Stegostoma tigrinum: one gene and its partners. The protein of the gene in region 1 binds, or shares a complex with, the protein of each later gene. Links are inferred from orthologs where the notes say so. Each region holds a gene or a part of one and is shown in the gene's direction. Other genes may lie near its edges.

The links.
Region 2: bcas2 (region 1) and cdc40 share a complex: the UniProt entries of both Homo sapiens proteins name them as parts of the postcatalytic spliceosome P complex. The link is inferred for Stegostoma tigrinum from reciprocal best matches to the Homo sapiens genes BCAS2 and CDC40.
Region 3: bcas2 (region 1) and ctnnbl1 share a complex: the UniProt entries of both Homo sapiens proteins name them as parts of the PRP19-CDC5L splicing complex. The link is inferred for Stegostoma tigrinum from reciprocal best matches to the Homo sapiens genes BCAS2 and CTNNBL1.

The regions. Positions count from the first base shown.
Region 1 is NC_081374.1:41,696,117-41,703,750, reverse strand, and holds the start of bcas2 (pre-mRNA-splicing factor SPF27), read left to right. Parts: upstream 1-4,560; 5' UTR 4,561-4,604; coding exon 4,605-4,697; intron 4,698-7,634. UniProt on the Homo sapiens protein: Required for pre-mRNA splicing as component of the activated spliceosome. Component of the PRP19-CDC5L complex that forms an integral part of the spliceosome and is required for activating pre-mRNA splicing.
Region 2 is NC_081357.1:25,293,269-25,301,355, reverse strand, and holds the start of cdc40 (pre-mRNA-processing factor 17), read left to right. Parts: upstream 1-5,024; 5' UTR 5,025-5,264; coding exon 5,265-5,450; intron 5,451-8,087. UniProt on the Homo sapiens protein: Required for pre-mRNA splicing as component of the activated spliceosome. Plays an important role in embryonic brain development; this function does not require proline isomerization.
Region 3 is NC_081372.1:47,970,337-47,978,045, reverse strand, and holds the start of ctnnbl1 (beta-catenin-like protein 1), read left to right. Parts: upstream 1-4,643; 5' UTR 4,644-4,716; coding exon 4,717-4,746; intron 4,747-7,709. UniProt on the Homo sapiens protein: Component of the PRP19-CDC5L complex that forms an integral part of the spliceosome and is required for activating pre-mRNA splicing.

The DNA.
Region 1 (7,634 bases):
GATCCCTGATGTAAACTGTCTCTCTTGCTTACAGGAGTCTTGTGCCCAACATTGAGATTTCTGATGCCGTTTCATCCTTCTCATCCTTCCCAAGATCAGATTTAACCTGGTGCAGAGTCTTCTCCCCATTCTACTGGAACAATCCTGATAGTTGCATGAGGAGTAGTCCTAAATTTATATAGGAACCAGGACCACATCAACACAGCATGGAGCTTGAGGAGTACAGCAGGTCAGACAGCATCAGTGGAACAAGGAAGTCGATGTTTTGGGTTTACACCCTTCACCAGGAATGGGGAAAGGAGCTCGGAAATAAATAGGGAGGTGGGGCCGGTGGAACGTAGGTGGGATGGTGGGAGGTGGATGCAGGTAGGGAATTGTGGAGATTGGTCAGTGGGAAGAGTGGGGCGGACAGATGGAAAGAAGATGGACAAGTTGTGTCTGGTCAGGGAGGCAGGGATGAGATGGAGGGTTGGACATGGGGTGAGGCCGGGGGTGAGGAGATTTTGAAACTGGTGATTTCTATGTAGAGGCCATCAGATTGTAGCCTCCTGAGGCAGAATGTGAGGTGCTGTTCCTTCAGCTTGCATGTGGCACCTTTGTGACACTGAAGGAGGCCCAGGATGGACATGTCACCCAGAGAGTGGGAGAGGGAGTTAAAATGGTTGGAAACTGGGAGGTGCTGTTGCTTAGAGCATACAGAGCACAGATGCTCCTTGAATCAGTCACCGAGTCTGCGTTGGTCTCATTGATGTAGAGGAGGCTATATCAGGAACAACGGATACAGTAGACCAGGTTGGAGGATGCACAGGTGAATCCCAGTCAAAATTGACAAGATTGTTTGGGACCTTGGACAGACGTGAGACGGAACGTGTAAGGGCAGGTGTAGCAGCTCCTGCTGTTGCTGGGAACGGTGCCATGTGTGGTGATGTTAGTGGGGAGTATGGAGTGGACGAAGCAGTCGTGGAGTGAGCAGTCCCTAAAAAAGGCAGATAGGGGTGGGGAGGGAAGTATCACTTTGGTGAGGGGGGTCAGATTGTTGGTGTCAGAAATGGCGAAGGATAATGCGATGGATGCGGAAGTCCGCACACTGGCTGCAAATACAATGGCTTGTGTGCCAGGATCACCAAAAAAGCTGTGTGTCCACAAGCTGTAAGGAGAATTACTAATTGCTTTTCGCCTGCCACAATGTCACTTGGCCAGAAAAAAAAAATGCATTCTTTCCACATACTGGGCCCAGTCTTCAATAGCAGGATTGAATAAGTCAAGCTTTGCCAATAGCAGCATGATGCTGCAAATGCTTACTCTCACTCAGAAATGACTGTTGGGAGTGAATTTCTTCAGGAGTGTGCTTTAATCTCATTACCAGTGAATTAACTTCACATAGACTGATATCCCATCAGCAAGTCACCGCTTATTTACACATGGAGAGTCTTTGACACTGATCCAACTGCCTCAGAGCCAACTCTCAGATTGAACAGGATGTCTGGCACTCCTGCTTTTGTCTGTCAGGCAGGACCTTCGCCATTCGGCCAGATGAACAGCCCCAATCAGGGAACTCATATTTTATAAGGCCCATCTGGCTGCCGTCATGACAATCAATACAGAAAGGAAGGAAGGAACATGAGGCACAGAGGTCTGCAAGATTGATAAATCAGAGCGGTTTCTCTCTCTCTCTTTCTTTCTCAACAATAAGGAGCAAAGGAAGTTACATAACCTAAAGAACAGGAGTACTATGACCAGAAAAGACACAACTTGACTGCAGAATACTCAATCCATTGCTATGTTACTCTACCTCTCCCAACCAAATCTTAGGTAACTTTGGGAGTTTAACAATTATGAGTCAGGGAACTTGAGGGAGCATGTTCTGTTTTGTTACTTGTCATATAAGAATGTTTAGCATCAGTTGTGCCAATTGCAATGTGTTGTACATATTAAATGTACTCATAATTCAAAATCTGAAAAATATATTGATTTCATTATTTACCATTCTTCAGTGTGATTCCTAAGGAAGCCCAGTCCATCACAGTAAATAAGTAAGTTTGGTTGTGAACAGAATTGCCCTCACACGAACAGAAACACCTGAGTATTGGCCAGCTAACTGCCTGACCTTGTTATGACCAGAAGCTATAACCTTCAAGAGCAGCATTTATATTTGCAACTTTCACAATGGCGCTTCTTGCTATTAAACGCATATATTTAGGAGCAGATCATTAAGTAGGCCTTGAGGCTGTTATCCATCACCAAGTGACCTTTATTTACAGTCTTTGGCTATGGTCCCGCCTCATACAGATTCAGGCACCAGACTGTCAGTATCTCTGACACTCACCCTTCTTTATCTGTCTGCCAGGGCTCCCTTATTGGACCAGATTAACAGCCTCAACCAGGGAGCTCATATTCTGAGATCCAGCTGAATAATCTCATTCCAATTACCACAGGCCTATTCCAATTTCTGCTTATCAAACCAGGTCAGTATCTCAATTTCATTGTTCCATACCCATTGATACCTTACCGAGCAAAGTTTGATCAGCTTCAATTTTGACACTTCCAATTGACTCCCAGCTTCAACTACATTTTGGAGAAACACCACTGTTATACTCCATGAAAGGCCCAGCTCTAATTTCAAATTAAGGTTACAAGCCTTGTTTTGGCTCATGTGGTGTGGTTGGGTAGAGTAGCTATGAATTGGGAGGCAACACATTAGAATTTAGTGTTTGCAGAATTTAATGTTTGTAAAATGCTAGGGGACAAAGCATTGGGTGGTCTTTTAATAGGTTGTGCTTTTTCTATGCTTAGAGATGTCTGTGAGCAGCTTGAAACCTTGCAAGAACAGAGAACGCCTGAATTGAAACATTTGCGTCACAAAGCTGTACCGTCAGCAGGCCAAGCAGCATTTTTACCAAGGAAGCAGATTTTTGAATTTAGCCAATCAATTTGAACTTGGTACTTAGATATCAAAAACCTATTAAATTTGAATCTGACGGCCTTGACAATCTAGGACCATTCCAGTTGTAAGAAATTGATAAGTCATAGGTGTATACAAGAAGGTAGCAGTTGGAAAATTGGCAGAGCTAACCGCTATCTGCTAGAGATAACAGCTCTCAGCTCTTAGAGAAACACCATCTATTCACAACGGTACCATGGCACTCCTAGCTAAGGTTCCTGACAGAAGAATCAATGGAGAACACACAGAACATTCTGGAAGGCATAAACTGGTTGTAATTTTGTGAGACTAAATTCAATTGATTTGTCATATAAATGGGTCTTATATTTATTGGAACAGCATACCATTAAAATCTTGCTTTATTTAGGAATAGTTAGCTGTCAGAAGGGATTTGTTCAGTTTGTTAATACTTTAGTTAATTTATTCAGTATTAGTTAGATAAATGAATTGTTGATTGTAAAATGAATGTCAGGGATACTTGAGTTAACCATTATAAACTTCTGAAAGACAGGTTACACCCTTAACAGATTATAGGCTGAGGTGGTCCTCTTTAGGTGTTTTGGTTTTTGTTCTCATGGTGGGGGGAGGGGGGGGGGTCAACCTATGCTTTACAACACTTGATATTGACATTATGCCAAGCAGCAACTTTAAAAACAGAGTAATTGGGTCAAAAACAGATAAAATTATCACTTTGGCCACCTATGCATGCATAAACTGGCTAGAGGGTCTTCAGTTATTGCTGACAAATGCCACTGCTCATGCGTGGTCAATCACATACACAAATGATGTAAAATTATGGATAATGATGGGATTGTGTAGTGGGAGGGGCTTAGATTAGTTCACAGGTCGGCGCAACATCGAGGGCCGAAGGGCCTGTTTTACGCGATATTGTTCTACGTTCCATGTTCTATGTGGGAATACATGGTTAAATAGGAAATTTTGTTGTGCCGTGCTTGAGGTGTGCATTTAATTCTGAAGTGGTGGCGGGTTTGGTAGGTGCTGTCCAAGGAGCCTTGGTGAATTTCTGCAATGCATGTTATAGATAAACAGCATTAACTTTTGTAGTAATAAGGTGTAGAGCTGATCAACACAGCAGGCCAAGCAGCATCAGAGGAACAGGAAAGCTAACTTTTCGGGCTGGGACACTTCTTCGGAAAACTTTGGTACAGTGATTGGTGATAATGGGAACTGCAGATGCTGGAGAATCCAAGATAATAAAATGTGAGACTGGATGAACACAGCAGGCCCAGCAGCATCTCAGGAGCACAAAAGCTGACGTTTCGGGCCTAGACCCTCTGATGAAGGGTCTAGGCCCGAAACGTCAGCTTTTGTGCTCCTGAGATGCTGCTGGGCCTGCTGTGTTCATCCAGCCTCACATTTTATTACTTTGGTACAGTGATTATTGTTTTCAGGTTCATATTGAGGGAGCTGCTGGTCAGGGTGGCCAACGAAGAGTGATCTAAGGAGGACACCCCAATTGCACCCTGCCAACACTTCACCCAGTGAGGGATATAGCTGCAAGTTGATACAAAGCGCGCATGCTCCGAAGGGACGGCAGCATTCAGCGCGCAGGCGCAGGCAGACCTTCAGCGGTGGGATTCTGGACGCGCTTCTGGATGGGGGTTACCAGGCGCGCAGGCGCGGTGAGCTGAGGGCGCTCAAGATGGCGGGGCCGCTGGCGGTGGCCGGCGATGTGGTGGTGGACGCGTTGCCGTATTTTGATCAGGGTTACGATGCGCCGGGGGTCCGAGAGGCGGTGAGTGCCTGGGTCGGGGCGAATACGTCTGGTCAGCCGGGGGACTGTGATCATTCTGATCGACAGCGGCAATGAAATGTCCTTTCGTGGGCCTCGGGGCTGTAGCCTCCACCAACAGCTGCTATTGAACACGGCATCCCCATTGTCTCCCTACCCACATCCCCCTCCCTTGTTCTTCCTTCACCCCCACCCCCACCTTGCCCCCATTCCCCACCCCCACCTTGCCCCCATTCCCCACCCCCACCTTGCCCCCATTCCCCACCCCCACCTTGCCCCCATTCCCCACCCCCACCTTGCCCCCACCTACACCCCTGCCTCCACCTTGCACCCCTCTGCCACCCCAACCTTGTCCCCATCTCCCCCCCCCTGCCCCCATCTCCCCCCCCCTGCCCCCATCTCCCCCCCCCTGCCCCCATCTCCCCCCCCCCGCCCCCATCTCCCCCCCCCCGCCCCCATCTCCCCCCCCCCGCCCCCATCTCCCCCCCCCCGCCCCCATCTCCCCCCCCCCGCCCCCATCTCCCCCCCCCCGCCCCCATCTCCCCCCCCCCGCCCCCATCTCCCCCCCCCCGCCCCCATCTCCCCCCCCCCGCCCCCATCTCCCCCCCCCCGCCCCCATCTCCCCCCCCCCCGCCCCCATCTCCCCCCCCCGCCCCCATCTCTCCCCCCCCCCGCCCCCATCTCTCCCCCCCCCCGCCCCCATCTCTCCCCCCCCGCCCCCATCTCTCCCCCCCCGCCCCCATCTCTCCCCCCCCGCCCCCATCTCTCCCCCCCCGCCCCCATCTCTCCCCCCCCGCCCCCATCTCTCCCCCCCCCGCCCCCATCTCTCCCCCCCCCGCCCCCATCTCTCCCCCCCCCGCCCCCATCTCTCCCCCCCCCGCCCCCATCTCTCCCCCCCCCGCCCCCATCTCTCCCCCCCCCGCCCCCATCTCTCCCCCCCCCGCCCCCATCTCTCCCCCCCCCGCCCCCATCTCTCCCCCCCCGCCCCCATCTCTCCCCCCCCGCCCCCATCTCTCCCCCCCCGCCCCCATCTCTCCCCCCCCCGCCCCCATCTCTCCCCCCCCCGCCCCCATCTCTCCCCCCCCCGCCCCCATCTCTCCCCCCCCCGCCCCCATCTCTCCCCCCCCCGCCCCCATCTCTCCCCCCCCGCCCCCATCTCTCCCCCCCCGCCCCCATCTCTCCCCCCCCCGCCCCCATCTCTCCCCCCCCCGCCCCCATCTCTCCCCCCCCCGCCCCCATCTCTCCCCCCCCCGCCCCCATCTCTCCCCCCCCCGCCCCCATCTCTCCCCCCCCGCCCCCATCTCTCCCGCCCCCATCCCCCCCCCCCCGCCCCCATCCCCCCCCTCCCCCCATCCCCCCCCGCCCCCATCCCCCTACTCCCTTCGCTCCCCATCTCTCCTCCATTTTCTCTCTCAATTTTTGGTCACCTTTTCCTGATTTCTTAAGTGCTGGTAGTTGTCAGAATTACTGTTATTTGCAAGATGCTTTTTATTTTCGTTGGCTGTGTTGAGTTGTTTCTTTAATTGATTCCAACTATTTGTTTACTACTGTGCATATCAGTCTTTTCACCTAATCGATCTTTGCCAACTTGTTCCTAATAGAACATAGAACATTACAGTGCGGTACAGGCCCTTTAGCCCTCAATGTTGTGCCACCCTGTGAAACCAATCTGAAGCCCATTCCACTTACACTATTCCATTATCATCCATATGTTTATCCAATGACCATTTAAATGCCCTTAAAGTTGCGAGTCTACTCCTGTTACAGGCAGGGCATTCCACACACTTACTACTCTGAGCAGAGAACCTACCTCTGACATCTGTCCCATGTCTATCACCCTTCAATTTAAACGTTTGTCCCCTCGTGCCAGCTATCACCATCCCAGGAAAAAGGCTGTCACTGTCCGCCCTGTCAGATCCTCTCATCATCTTGCATGTCTCTATTAAAGTTGCCTGTTAAACTTCTCTCTAACGAAAACAGCCTCGAGTCCCTCAGCCTTTCTACATTAGACCTTCCCTTCATGCCAGGCAACATCTTGGTAAATCTCCTCTGCGCCCTTTCCAATGCTTCCACATCCTTCGTACAATGGGGCGACCAGAACTGTACGCAATACTCCAAGTGCAGCCGCACCAGACTCTTGTATAGCTGCAATATGATCTCATGGCTTTGAAACTCCTTTTGTAATTGGCTTTATTTTTTAAATTTAATTCTTAATTGCAATCTAAGTATGTTGCTTTCAAGCCAAGTATGTGATTCAGTTGTGTTATGATTACTGTTTCCCACCTGATCTTTTACTTTGAGATTATTAATTAACCTTACCCCACTGAACGAAGACTCTCATGATACCCCTGAAAGGTTCACATTCCATGTGTGGAAAGTTCTGCACATACTTAATGAAATGCTTTCTTGGTAAAACACGTGGTGCCCAAATAAGCACAATGAATAAAAGCAAACGTGCGTAATGATATTAGCAGTACTGGCAGTGTTATTGCCCATGCACATCTTGGGGGTGCCGGCAGACATTCTGTTGCAGAATATTAGATATAAAGTAACTTTTACGTTGTGGAATAACACCATAGGTTTTGTTTCAGGAAGCCAACATGAAAACATTCTAGAAATTCATCTTCCTCAACTGCTTTTGACAACTTGATATTAGTTCGGTATATATCCCACCAATTTTTATATTGCTTTTATTGCAGTTTCTAATAGTTCCTTATTTAATTCTTTGCCTCATTTTTGTAACCAAGTCATGGATAAGCAATGACACAAAATGGTCTCTAGTTTCAGCGTGCCCTGTTCTAGTGCAGTGGCAGTGTCCAGACCATTAGACCATGAGGCCCAGGTTTAAGTCCCTCCTGCTGTAGAGGTGTGTAATAACATATCCAAACAGGTTGATTTGAAAAAATAAGTTTCTACAGTTAAGGAGCCAATAATGTACTG
Region 2 (8,087 bases), on another chromosome or scaffold:
CACAGATGTTCCATGGAATAACAAATTAAAAATACCTATGCTAGATTAAACAGATCTCAGTAGGTCAAATTCATAGAGCAGCAGGATTGTGGGGAAGAGTTCCACGTTTGAATTCAAAAAGGATGTTTGAATCAGTGCCCTCCACACAATGTAGGTTACCTTGGACATTTCACTGATTGTTCATTTTCCACTATTCTGTTCAAGATAACTCTATTTAGTTGAGCTCAGTGGGCATAATTGTTGAAAGAGCTAGTGTACCACCCCCAACTGAAAAAGGACAGCAGAACACATGATCAGAATCAAACCAGCCAAATGGATGCAGTTTGAAGAATGATCGTGATCTGAGCTGACAGAACAACATGAAGCAATATTTATTTGTTTTGACAAGTATCACTAATGGTGGCATAATTGTGATGTCACTTAACTAGTTAATTCAGACCCTAAGCAAGTTTTCAAATAGATAAATTTAAATTCAATTTTTAAAAAAACTCTGGAATTGAGAGAAATTCTATAACCATTGTCAATTGACTAAATGTCCTTAAGGGAAGTAAATCTCTCTTCCTTACCCGGTCAGGTCTACATGTGATTTGAGACCAACAGCAACACAGCAGTCTAAACTGCCCTCTGAAATCAATATTTGTTAGCACTGTTCAATTTTGGAAAGTGAAAATGTAAGATTTTCTTATAGGAGTAACATGCCACCAAATCCAAGAACGCATAGATAGCAAAACCTACTTGGAACTGCAACTTTGTTGAGGAAAAAAAGCTAGTGAACGAAAGAATCTAACTTTAATTAGAAGTCATGATATTAAGAATTGGTTGGGAAGTTGTGTAATTTATCATGCCAATGGCCTAACTTTTATGACAAACAAAGCTGTTATTGCTCATGGCATTACTTCACTTAAAGCACAGTATAGCTCTTCTACAATCCTCCTGAAGCTTAATAATACTGTTCATGGTTTTTAAACATGAATTATTAATTGGCAACATACCAACTATGAGATAAGGCGATAGCCAATCTTTTATTTCAGTAAAGCATCCAACACATTAAAAATAACAAAAATGGCATAATTTCACATTTGGCATTTCACGTAAATCTCCGTGCACTTAAGATGCCAGATGAAATAATTTATTCACAATACTGTATTTGTGTTGCAAATGTACTTTTAATGGATAAGCATTGCCCTTTCATAATGATCTGCACAAATCTATAAAAACCTAATTATATAATTTGTCAACAAACAGCCAACCTCAGAAAATCATAAAAAGTAAATTGGCTCCTTATCCAATTTCCCAAAACATTCTCCTGAATTGTATCTTTTCATGTTAAATATTAAGATAATTATATGCATAATATTGAAGAAACTTTCTTTGCAAGTAAGATTACTTGGCAGTATTTTTTGGTGTAATGAGACTAGTACAGCAAAATCTGGTTTTCATAGATTTTTTGCCATACACATTTTCAGTATACATGACCGATACAATGCTCCTAAACACACACACTTCTCCATGATGTTTCTTTAAAAAGTTACATTTCTAAAAGTCATTCATATTCAGTATTTTGAAAACTTCCATTTCATTAAAGCCAATATTTCTTTCATACATTTATATTCTCAGCCTACTCAAGCACAAAAATAATTTATTTGCCATAAATTTAGAACATTTTATAAGATTTATGTGAACACTGGCCAGCCATAATTATCAAGTAGCTAAGTGCAATAACTAACATACATCTGCGATGAAAAGACGACCAAACAATTTAACACAGCAGTTTCAATCTTCAAATAGCTAGTTCACAATAACAAAATGCATCTATCTTGAAATAAAGACAAGAATAATTAAAATAAAAGATAGTGAAATTTCCTTACATTTGCACCCAAGATACAACTATTCAAGGTACAAAACAAAACTTGCTTTAGGAGACCAAACAAAAGTGTAAGATGCACAGTTACGTTAGCCTTTCAGTCCTGCTGATCGTGCTTTTCACCTCAGCACGTGACCATGCAAGCTATATACATAAGTTTCTTGAAAGAATGGCGAGTTAAAATGGATCTAAAATTAGGCAGAGAATTTAGATGCTGCTGAAAGGTTATTTCTTTGGTATTTTATTATTCATTTTAGACTGCTCCTCCCTTAAATCTAAATTGTGTTGTCTCTGCCCTTCCATGTTTACAGTTTCAGCACCAGTCATACAAAGAGTTGAAAACACTCACAAGCCCATGTTCTTTTGTGTGTAATTAGTTAGCTTATTTGAAACCTATACATTTTACATTGAAGAGGAACATATGGTGAGGGGTCCACATTTTCTTCAGGTCCCAACTCCTCATGCAATGACATCAATGAGTAAATTGCTGTAAAATGGGCTGTTGAATGGTGCAATTTTAGGTAACGCTGTCTAAGTTTGCTACACAAGACATGCTGTCCTGGTTGGCTTTTCATTTACCATCCTTAAGCTCATATGAAACCACTGCCAACTCCCAACTTGCATCAAGCATCATTCATGCATTCCCTGGAAGCTCCACAACTCAACAATGCCTCTAATTTCGAATTTGCATCAAGTACCTTCTTGGTTCTTCAAGCTTACAGCTCTCCAAGAACTCTCTGTTCTTCCAATTCTAGTCTCATGAGCACTTTCCTTTTGTTTTGCCCTATTGCTGGTAGCTGTATTGACCAAAGTCGCAGGTCTTTGCTCTGTAATTCCATATTTAAAACACACTGTGTTCTATCTTGCTTTCTATCCTGCTCCAAGATGCTCCTTAAAAGCTACTTGAAATTCCTTGTCCTATTACTATTGAATTTCCATTTCTGTCTGATAACGTGTAAGCTCTTGGCTACATTTCCTTTGTTAAAGGTATGGTCATAGTGAGTGGATCCTGAAATTTTTCTATAAGCAGAAAAGCGCTACGTTTTAACTTCAGGAAGATTTGAAGTTTACAAAACAATACAAATTTTAAAAAAGCACAGCAGCAGAAATCATCCCGATTGATTTGTTCTTAAAGTTAAGAAACAGGATCGAGCTCAAATCTGTCACTGCTCCAACTTTTGAAACCCTAAGCTTGGAAAAAAGTTACCCGTCTCAGAAATGCATAGCGATTTATACTAGAACATTTTTTCCAGGGTATTGCAATTATTTCCCCAGCGAGTTATCTGAAAGTCGTTTGCAATTCCACTTCGGCTGTGAAGAGCAATTATTCGGACCGCATATAAGAAGTGCTAATGAAAGGAAAGGATCCAAAGTACTAAGTTGTGCTTTTAAAGTTTTGCGCAAATTGAGATAGTGTCGCTCCAACCGCTCATCGTGGATCTCTCTTTACTCCGCTCAAAATATTGAAACACTGCGGTTAGGGGGTGGGTGCGTATGGGAAGGTCTTTCGAAGAGGTGAAATACAGGAGCTCAGGTCTGCGATCAACCTCTGGCGTGGGAATCGAGTACTGCGGGCGGCAGAGTTTAAAGCAAAAATAAACAGCCTTTCAAAACGTAAAGGCAAATAATTTTCTGCATTAGGTCAAGGGGCCAGGAAAGCAGACAGTCCTGAAAAGTTGCTCATGGTCATTCGCAATAAAATTGCTAAATAATCAGCACGTTTATCATTCATCCTAGTCAAATGTGTTCCCTACGCTGCAAAATTAGCGACCGTTACAGTCGTGATGCGACGGCACCGCACCTACAAACATGAACTTACTGTCCGTGAGTGGACAAAACTTCAACAGTAAGCCTCTGTTTATAAATTGCACAAAATAAAATACCCTGCCGCGCTGAGATCTAATATCTTAGGGTCACAGAATATTTGCCGATCTTCTCTTCCACCCGCTACACCCCCTTCCCAAATTCTTTGTGGAAATCGAGGGCATCCATCCAGCTTCACGAAAACCTCAATATTGAAATAAAATTTCTGCAAACAATCGACACCTTTATACTGCATGTTCTTGCGAAGGGATTGAGTGCGCATCCAAATTCACGATCTCAACTAAGTGGTTGAAATGGAACAGGAGAGAGAGCAGTGAGTTATAGCGAGTTGCAGAAAGGTCAGACTCTCGATAACACGGGATTTTTTGCGGCCAGTGCAGCTCCGACTGTGGTGCAGGAGAGAATGAGAGACTCAGGGCTGAAGCCCAGGTGCACCCGAGCAAGCCCCATCCATCAGTCCAACCATCACTACCTGCCGGGGCCTCGGCAACCACAGAAAGAAATTGGCGAGGGAGAAGAAAAATAAAAAGGTAAGATTGTAGACTGCAAAAAAAAATTACCATGGCTAAACGCAAGCCCCTCTCCGAACACACACCTTTGCTGTGAGGCAATTGTTTTGCACAGCAAATAAAAACACTGCAACAATAAATAAAATTCCAAGAGCTCGACATTTCATTCACTGAGATTAGAATTACGTACCCTGTAAACTCTTACCGGCCTCGAGTATTTTTTTAAAATATAATCTTCCGAGATACCTAGACCTATAGATTTTTTTTTAAAAAAAACAATGAATTGGAACGTCTTTCAGTTGGAGAATAACGTCTTCATTGTCCGCGAGCGGCCGTCTGGGAGCTTCGCTCTAACCGGTCCGCTTTTACTGACGCCCCAAGTTTTCGCCGGTCTCGATAACAACACCGCCGCCGCTTCAGCCGGAATGGCGCACGTCGGCGACACGCACGGGGAACATCGCACCCGCGGCAGCAGGACCCGTTCGCTTCTTCAATCCGAAAATAGAGGCGTTTCGGCTTCCAAATCGCAGAGAACGGCCGAGCTTAGAAAGCGCCGGACGCAGCTGTGCCTGCCGGAACGGATTTCGTCCACCGCTATCCGGCTGAACGCACTGAGCGATCCTCCCGTGTATTGTCCCAATGGCACTGGCCGTTTGGAAGGGGTATGGGGGAAGACCATCGAATTGGAATGCGTTGTGGAACGGAGGAGGAAGGGTCGAAGGGAGCTTTGTGATGTCTTTTGATCGACAAGGCACAGAACCAATGGACAAAGGGTTGTTGCCGAGATGGGCTCACCCACTCCTTCCCAGGCTAGCCAATCAGATTGTCGGAGGTGGGAATTTGGGCCTTACCGCCGTGGGGTAAATAATAGTCCTTGGAGTTTCGCTGAAGTCCGGGAGGATGATATTGTGAGACTGACGCCGATAGAAATTTCTCAACATTTAAAATAGTGAAGACGGTGCCAAGGAAACTCCTGTCAGTGAACGCTGTGGTGTTTACTTGGGGAGGACTGGTTAAGTTTTAGATCTGCAAGCGCGCGTCATCTTCTGAGAGAGGCGCCCGCGAAAATGTCGGCGGCGATTGCGGCTCTGGCCTCTTACGGCAGCGGCAGTGGCAGCGACTCGGATGGTGAATGTGGAGAGCTCCCCAGCCGAGACGCCGTGGCTCATCTGCACCCTCTGGAGCCTAAGAAATCCATGTCACGCCTTCACGGATCCCTCGCTTTGAACTCCGCTCCTGATGTTGCTGTAAAGGTGAGTGTAGGAAGGCCCGAGTCGGGCCTGATGGGGCACATGGGTTTAGTCTGTTGACAATCTCACAAAAAACGGGGTTTGTCTGCCTCCGACCCGAACCTGGGGAAAGGACAGAATTGATGCGTCTACGACAGAAAAATACCACTCAAAAATTCCTTAATAATGTTGGTGATGTTCCGTTGAATAGCTATTGGAAACTGACATCTGATAACAGACCATTTTAACTAGACTACAGATTTGTTGCTAACTTGTTTCATTTATGAGGAGAAAAACCTTTATAAGTAATTTCCTTGCGTGTACAGGCTTAGTATACTTCAGTAAATTGATAAGCCCCATTTGTTATTATTACATTTTGATTAACCCTTGAAAGATAGGTACTTTTAAGAACAAAATACAGAAGTTGCTGGAAAAGCTCAGCAGGTCTGGCAACATCTGTGAAGAAAAGATCAAAGTTAACAGAATAGTTCTGAGGAAGGGTGAACGGACCAGAAATGTTAACTCTGATTTTTTTCTTTGCAGAAGCTGCCAGACCGGCTTTTCCAGTAACTTCTGTTTTTGTTGCTGATTTACAGCATCCGCAGCTCTTTTGGTTGTTATTAGGTAGTTTTTAAGACACAGGTGATTTGCTTAGAGCTCTTTGCAACGTTGTCCACTACACACACGTTTGTTTTGATGTTTCAGTAGGAACTGCCGCATGGATTTTGGAAACAGATTTAGCTGACTTAATGTGTTTTGGTGTTTGGATTAGAGTCATAGAAATATTCAGCATGGAAACAAGCCCTTTTGTCCAATTTGTCTATGCTGACCAGACTAAGACCAGACTGTCTAAATCCTCCCCATTCCTATACCCATGCAGATACCTTCTAAATGTTATAATTGTACGAGTCTCCAACACTTTCTCTGGCAGTTCATTCCATATGTGCACCACCCTCTGCATGAAAAAGTTGCCCCTTAGGTTAAATCTATGCCCATGAGCTTTGTACTTCCCTAACCTGGGAAAAGACCTTGGCTATTCACCCTATCCATGCCCCCCCATGATTTTACAAACCTCTATAAGGTCACCTCTCAACCTCTAATGCTCCAGGGACAATAAACCTAGTCTATTCAGCCTCTGGCCATAGCTCAAACCCTCTCACACTGGGAACATCCTTGGAAATCTTTTCCGAACCTTTTCAATTTTCACAACATTTTTTGTTTAGCAGGAAGACCAGATTTGAAGGCAGTATTCCAAATGTGGACTAAGCAATATCCTGTACAGCCACAACATGACATCCCAACTGATCAATAAAGTCTAGCATACCAACCACCTTCATCATTACCCTGTCTCCCTGTGACTCCATTTTCAAAGAACAATGAACATGCACCCCTGGATGCATACAGTGTTACAGATTTGCAGCAGCAGCAGTGTACACCATCTGAAAGCTGCACTACAGAAATTCACTTAGGCTCCTTGACAGCACCTTTCAAACTCATGCCAACTACCATCTAGATCAACATGGGCTGTAGTTACGTACAGCCACTACTACCTGCAAGTTCCCCTCCAAGCCATTCATCATCTTGACTTGGGAATATATTATTTTTCTTCCAGTGTTGCATGGTCAAAATTTTGGAACTGCTCCCTAATGGCGTTGCTAACAGCAAATGGACTGAAGCAGTTCAAGAGGACAGCTCACCGCTACCTTAATAAGTGCTGTTAGAAATAGCCAGTAAATCCTGGCCCAGCCAACCATGCCCACTTTTGATGAATGAATCTTTTTAAAAATTGTTTTTAACCATAAAGCAGAAATTTGAAGTAAAATGTATGGAAATAAAATAGAGTAAACCACACAATTTACTTGTAACACAAACTGTAAAGATGTTAAAACATACAGTGAAATATAATTCCATTAAACTTTTAAAAAGACTCCTGTACAGATCCTAAAATACTTCAGTACAGTACGCAGAAGCACCCCCTTATACAGCTGTCATACCGGAAAGTTTCTTGCACCTGGATGTGTCTAATTTGACTTCAGCTCTTGACAGGGAAACACAGTAGTTTCTTCCCAGAGCTATCATATGCCTGAGCTTAATTATCTCAATTTCAAGTAACCTGTTCAGGATTTTATCCAAACGTTTCCGTTCTGGAACTTTAACTCATCGCTCCAAGGTGGTCTAGTTCTGTCATAGTCAGAAGTCACATGGTACTAAGTTATAGTCCAATAGGTTTGTTTGAAATCACAAGCTTTCAAAGCACAGCCCATTCATCAGGACAATAACAATGGTGTTGTGTGACTTCTGACTTTGTCCAACACAGGCACCTCCACATTATAGTTTTAACAAATCCACCATCTTTTTCCTTTCTGGAACAACTTTGCACATGAAAACTTTGCACATGTAGATCTGCCCAAAACTGACAGTAAAACTGAAAAAAATCTCTCTAACGTTTCAATCTCTTCAAGCTTAAAAAAAACATGATTTTCTAGTAGGAACTTTGAGGAACAATTATTTACCTTGCTCAGTGAACCCTCCAGAGCTACATAAGAACTAGTTCAGTCTAAAGACTCTCAACTGTTTTGAAAACAAAATTGTCATGGCTGCAGAGATACAAGTTAATTAACAAATTAATTATTCTTTCACACCACAGAAAAACCCTTATGT
Region 3 (7,709 bases), on another chromosome or scaffold:
ATTTGCAGAAGTTATTTTATCCAGTATCGCATGACAAACTTCTGAGGAAAAGTCATGGTATAAAAGGAACAGTAACAATGTGCATACAAAATTGGCAGAGCATTAAGAAATGGAGAATGGTAAATGGGTATATTTTGGGCAGGAAGAATATTTATGGTGAAGCTCCTCAGAGGTCAGTATTGGGGCCCTCATTTTTCCTGACATTATAGAATCCCTACAATGCAGCTAGAGGACTATTGGCCCATTAAGTCTGCATCTACCCTCCAAACAGCATCCTGCCCAGACCCATCACCGCCACTGCAACTGATGACACCTCATGGCTAATGCATCTAGCCTGCATGCTACAGGCCAATTTTACATACTGTGGTAGGAAACCAGAGCACTGGCAGAAACCTACACAGGCTGTCATCCAAGGCTGGAATTGAACTTAGGTCCCTGGCACTGTGAGGAAGCACTGCTAACCACTGTGCCACCATGTCACCCTAACATATTAATGATCTGGATCTTGGTGTGCAGGGGACAATTTCAAAGTTTGCAGGTGACACAAAACTCAGAAAAATTGTAAACCGTGAGGAGGATAGTCTGGAGCTCCAAAAGGACATTAACCAGTTTGATGGAGTGGGTTAATTGGTGGTAGATGAGGTTCAATACAGAGAAGTATATTTTGGTAGGAATATCATTGAAAGATAATGTAAAATTGGGGGTACGATTCTAAAGAGGGTGCAGGAGCAGAGGGACCTCTGTGTATATGTATAAGAATCATTGAAGGACAAGTGGAGAGAGCAGTAATAAAGCATACAGTGCCCTAGCCTTTATTAAAAATAGCACACAGTAAAAGGAGTTGATGTTGAACTTGTACAAGACACTCGTTTAACAGTGTGGGCATTACATTGCAGGAAACATGAGAATACATTGGAAAATATTCAGAAACAATTCACAAGAATGACTCCAGGAATGAGGAATTTTCAGTTATGAAGATAGGCTGAAGAAGTTGAGACTATGCTCTTTGGAGAGAAGAAGGCTGAGAGGAAATTTAATCAAGGTTTTCAAAAAATATGACCAAATTAGAGAGAGTAGATAGAGAGAAGCCATTTCTGTTCATAAAAGGAACACAAACAAGAGGGACAACAAGATGTAGAGCTGGATGAACACAGCAAGCCAAGCAGCATCAGAGGGGCAGGAAAGCTGTCGCTTCTGAAGAAGGGTCGAGGCCCAAAACATCAGCTTTCCTGATCCTCTGATGCTGCTTGGCCTGCTGTGTATATCCAGATCTGCACCTTGTTATCTCAGATTCTACAGCACCTGCAGTTCCTACTATCTCAAGAACAAGAGGGAATAGTTTTAAAGCGATGTACAAAAAAAAGCAAGGGTGATGTGAGAAAAATACTGTTTCACTCAGCAAGTAATTAGGATATGGAAGGCAGTACCTGGAAGTGTGGTGAAGGCAAATTTAGTTGAGACATTCAAGAGAGTGTTGGATGATTGTTTGTATAGAAATGGTGTGCAGTGATATGAGTAAAAGGCAGAAGATTGGCTTGAGGTAATGATGCTCATTTGAAAAGTTAGTGTAGACATGATGGACCAAAGGGCCTCCTTCTGTACCATAACAATTCTATGATTCAGTATTAATGTCAAAAAGAGTTCACAATTGCATCCACAACTTATATTTTACAGATAAAGGCAGTCTGAAGGAGAGGTTATGGTCTCGGTATCCCTGGAACCTGTAAGTTTGCTTGACAGAATTGTCCTCCTTCCTTCAAACCAACAGGGACACTCAGTTGAAAATTCGCTTAACTGATGCAATCAGGGGTGAAATGTCCAGATGGAGCTGAGAACGCTTATCTGTAACAAGCCCTAGCTGTCCTTCTTTGGGGCACGTAATCACATTATCAAGATAATGGGAAAAGACAGGATTACTTAGAACAGGAGGGAAGCTACTAGCGTACAGATGAGTTGGTGTTATTGAATATGCAAGTGTCATGTTGAAGAAACAAGTGAAACAGATCCACATTTTTGCTGTCCTTCCTCCCAAAGCTGATCATATCCAAGAGATGTATCAAAATGGTGCTGAAATTGCAACAGTAATTGGTCAATTTCAGTGATATTGCCCCTATGGGCAGCAGGAACAGAAAACCCATCAAGCACAATTGCATTTCCCCTTTCATCAATAGATAAAGTACAGATCTGATCAAGGTGACGACAATGCTGATGCCCTGAACCACAATTCTATCTCATGAAAGGAAGCCTATCTCTGCCATGTGACAGGGAATTACGAATGATATCATCAAATGTAAAAAATGTCTACTACCATTGAGGAATAGGAATTTTTATATGGAGCCAGATTTTGGTTCTGCTCTATGAAGACAATTGTTTTATATTAAGAGGTCAGAAAGTCATAAGAGGATGCAGTTTCCAAGTAAGCATGTAATTCACATATGTGCCCAGCAGGATATACCTGTGACGTTAATGACTAAAATATTTATACTGCCACATTTACAACGGATGGAGAAAACAGATCAAGCATCATTAGATTAGCATGGTTTCAGTTCAAAACGATCAGAAATTTAGTACACATGACCAAGAGAGGTGAAAATGTGGAAGTCACTGCCACAGGCTGAAGTGACTAATATTATGCAAATAAGGCAAGATTTGATATTCATGAAAGAAAAAAATTGAATTGACAACTATTGGGGAGGAAATGGCCTCGTGGTACTGTCTCTGGATTAACAATCCAGCAATACTGAGATACTGTTCTGAGGACCTGTGTTCAAATCCTGCCACAGCAAATGGTGCAATTTGAATTCAATTAAAACAAAATCTAAACTAAGAATCCTGAGATGAACATGAATCCATTGTCAATTCTTGGGGGAAAAAACCCAGTGATGCCCTCATCCTGTAAATGAATGAAAATAAAACTATAGAGATCAATTAGGGCATGTGATGGCCTAGTAGTATTATTGCTGCATTGTTAATCCAGAGATCCAGCTAATGTTCTGGGGACCTCGGTTTGAATCCTGCCACGGCAGATGATGGAATTTGAATTCAATAAAAATCTGGAATTAAGTCTAATGATCACTATGAATCCATTATCAATTGTTGGGAAAAACCTATCTGGTTCACTAACACCCTTTAGGGAAGGAATCTCCAATCCTTACATTTGTGTTGCCACTTTCGGCAGCTATAGACTTGCAACCCAAGATCCCTCCATATATCAGTGTTCCTAAAGGCCCTGGCATTAACTGTATAATTTTATCTTGCATTTGATCTCCCAAAATGCATCATCTGACACCTTTGGAGTTCTTTCTGATTATTCCTATTATTCTTCTAATATCATCCCCATTACATACCTGATCCCAGTCCTACTTCCTATGCCATCCCTAAACCCCTTTCCATACATCCCATGTATTTCCACTCATGGTGTTCCCATCCCAGATTTCTCTCTTATGCTGTCCTCCACTTTCCACTCAATGCTGTCCCTCATTCCTGGCTGACTGCTTTTGTTCAGTGAGGTTTGTCTGCATCACTCTGTTGCTTTCCAATTATAGAAAGACAATTAGAAAATTTAGATATTTTAAAACTTAATTGTAACATTTAAGTACCCAGGAACCAGCTAAGAAATACACACACTAACAGATGCAAACCTTAAACTGATCAATAAACAGAGTCTTGACAGATGAAGACTGTTAATAACATAGGTTACAACTTTGGTAAAAGGCGAAATGAGGAAGGGTCCCAATCAACTTTCCTGCTCCTCAGATGATGCCTGGCCTGCTGTGTTCCTCCAGCTCCACACTGTGTTATCGCTGACTCCGGCATCTGCAGTTCTTACTATCTCTTATAATGAACTACAATATAGTCCACCTTGTCTTCACCTCCAACCCACTAGTGTTCACTTTCAATGATCATTCTTAATCATTTATGCCACCCATACTGTTACAGCAAACCTTATTCCTCACCTTTCCCCATTCAGGATTCTGACAGAACCGTTGTCTCCTAGGTCTACTGGTCCATCATGCCACATGGCAAAGCAGGCTCTATAGTTCCTCAAGATTAAGGACCCAAAACACAACCTTCAGTTGAAACAGTTCTTATATTTCTTTCAATTTTTAATAAGTGTTCACTGTTTATGAACTAGTTTTCTCTGCTTGGGAAAACTAAACACATATATGTTATAGAGATAGTAGGAACTGCCGCTGCTGGAGAATCTGAGATAACAAGGTATAGAGCTGGATGAACACAGCAGGCCAAGCAGCATCAGAGGAGCAGGAAAGCTGATGTTTCGGGTCTAAACCTTTCTGAAGAAGGGTTCCCACCTGAAACGTCAGCTTTCCTGCTCCTCTGATGCTGCTTGGCTTGCTGTGTTCATCCAGCTCTACACCTTGTTATCTCAGATTCTCCAGCATCTGCAGTTCCTACTATCTCAGTACAAGAAAAGTTCTGCTTTTAAATCTATTTCAGATTTTTATTTGTTTGAAGAGCTCACTAAAATCAATGCTAAATTTCCCTTCGGAAAGACACATCAGTGAAGTTTCATTAGCAAAGAAAGTGTTAAAAACCGTACGATGGTTTTAACCTGAGACTTTCTAAGATCATTCCTGGCTGAACTTGGAGCCTTTACGACAATTGGCGGTCATTTACGACCGTTTGGGACATACGGCAGTGTGGCAGGGACCTGAGCGGTGGGGGGACATTTTAGCTTCTTGCGACAGTGCTGATATGGATGTGGGCGAATTGCTGAACTATCAGGTGAGGCAGCAGCTTCTCCTCCTTCTTTCGGGCCCCCTGTCTACGCTCAGTCAGTCTAAGCCGCTCCATATCCCCACTCCGGCCGGTTCCGAGACAAGCGAGGCCGCAGAGCCTGGCACTCGAGTTGTGGCTGCATCGCCAGTAACTGACAGGGAGCCCTCTTTTTCCTGCCACACGATTTCGAGTTCACGTGGGGCTCCATCGTTGATCAATTTTAGGTTCTATCAGCTCCACAGGTGTGTAATGACGTCTCTGATCAGGTTGATTCAAAAATATCAATAAACCATCTTTCCATAGCCACAATATTACAGTCATCAGCCCCAGCTTAGGAGTTTCACCTTCTAATTGAATCGCTTTAAAATTCCTGATACAGAGAGGTGACATATTTGTCAAACAACAGGCCACTGTGCCTGGCATAGTGATGAGAAGTTATTCCATGATGTTAATTTTCAGTACTATAATGTAGAAATATTAAATACAAAACACATATGGCACATAACATCTTGCCCGTCATAAGATGGAAAACAGAATTGCTGTAGTACTGAAATATAATCTTAGTGTGTGACAGTGAAGTGCGAGAAAGGTTCACGTGAGGGTAAACTTAGAAGGTTAAAAAAAGGGTGAAACAGTGATGCAGGATTGCAGCTTTGATAATGATGACTAGAGTGTGTCAAGTGGAATAGAACACAAATATAGGAGTATACTGGCAAGATGATTTTTTTTGGCTAATGTGAATTCACATGCAAATATAGTTGTGGATATAAATGGTGAAAAGGCAGATTGAAAATTATTTCTCTAAATGTGCACTGAATGGACAAATTAATAATACAAATACAAATGACTGAGTATAATTTGATTGCCATTGTAGAAATGTGGTTGCAAAATGACTGGCTGGAACCTAAATATTTGAGGATGTTCAACACTTTGGAAAGTCAGGAAGGAGGGTGAGGAATTGGATAACTCTTTTAATAAATAATGAAATCAGTGCAGTTGTGAGAATTGATCTTGATTCAGAGGATCAAGATGTAAAATCAGTTTGGATGGAGATAAGAAATGGTGAAAGAAAGAAGTCATTGGGAGTACATAAGGGTTAAACTGAAGGGTGCATTGTAAATCAAGAAGTAATAGAGTTTATAACAGTCACTCAAAATTGGGGAGACTTCACTCTTCATATTAGTTGAAAGCAATAGACAAAAATTGCCTGGGGATGAACATTGTATTTTGAACAGTTTCTTGGGGTTCTTTCTGTAACCAAACAGGAAACATTATTTGAGGCCTGGTATTGTGAACTGTAGGCTTGTAAAACAAATGATGTAGCCACATTACAGGGCAGACATTAATGATGTCCAGCATGCAACAGGAGGGATAAGTGTACAAACGTAGAAAAACATCAGCAAATAGGGTCAAAGGGACAAAAGTGATTAGCAAAACTGATGGTTCCACGCTTGAATGCACATAGTATTTTGAACAAAATAAATGAGTTAATGGCACAAATAGAATTTATTGGGTATGGCCTTGCAGCCACTGTGGAGATATGGTTACAAAGAAGTTAGTATAGGGAACTGTGTATTATGGGATAAATGTCTTTTCAAAAGGAGAGGCAGGAGGGAAAGGGTGGTGGGGTAGCATTGTTGGTATAGGATGGAATAGATGCAAAAGCAAGAAATGATCTTGGATTAGAAAATGTAGAATCCAAATGAGGATGGAGGTAAGAAATATCAAGGAGGAGAAGACATTGACAGGAGTAATATTTTGGCCTCTTAACAGTAGCAATATAACAGGACTGAGAATAAATCAGGAGCTAATGACTATGTAAAAAAGGTAGTATATCAATCATAGAATCCCCAATGAGGCCATTTGGCCCATTAAGTCGGCACTAACTCTCCATAGTGTCCCATAGACCGCTTCCCTGCATTCGTCATAGCTAAACTACCTAGGCTACACGTCCTTGAAGACTATAGACAATTTAGCACCCATCCATATCTTTGGACTGCGGGAGGAAACTGGAGCACCCAGTGGAAAACCACGCAGACACGTGGAAAATGTGTGGAGTTTGCACAGTCACCTGAGGCTGAAATCAAATCCGGGTTCCTGGTGCTGTGAGGCAGCACTGATAACCACTGATCCACCATGCCACTCTGGGTGAATTTAATCTGCATGTGGGTTGCAATGTTAGATTTGCAGAGGTAACCAGGAGGAAGAATTCAGAGCATATTTGGACAGTTTCCCTGAACAATATGTTGCGGGTCTAACTAGGGATCAGGCTGTTTTAGATTTGATGTATAATGACAGGTTTATTAAATTATCTCAGAGTAAAGGATCTCCTAGAAAACAGTAACCATACATGGTAGAATTTAGAATTTAATTTGAAAGGGAGAACTTGGGTCAGAAACAGCTATGTTAAATCTAAGGGTAATTACAAAGAAATAAGGGCAGAATCAGTTGTTGTGGACTAGAAAAGAAGTTTAGCAGAGAAAACCTGAGTATACTTTTAAGAATATAGTTCATCAGTTGAAAAACACATTGCAGTGATAAAGGAGGGTTCCAGGAAGGGAATTAGCCAAGCGTAGGGGTTTTAAGGATAGCATCAGATTGAAAGCAGAAATATAATATGGCAAAGATTAGTGGTAGGCCAGAGATTTGGGAAAGTTTAGAAAACTGCAAGAAGTGACCAACATAAAAATGAGGGATTAAATAAACCTGAAAGCTAACTTGCAAGAAGTATTAAACTTGACATCAAGTTTATTTTTAATATACTAAAAGGAAGAGAAAGGCCAAAGTGAGCACAGCTCCCTAAGTGGAAGAGGCTGGGGAAGTAATACTAATGTGGAACTGGGACATGGTAGAGGAGTTGAATAAATACTTTGCACCAATCTTCACCGTAGAAGACACTAATAATGTTCCAAAAATACTGAATGATCAAGGAGAAAAAGGGGGAAATGAAATAAATCCAATAACCATCA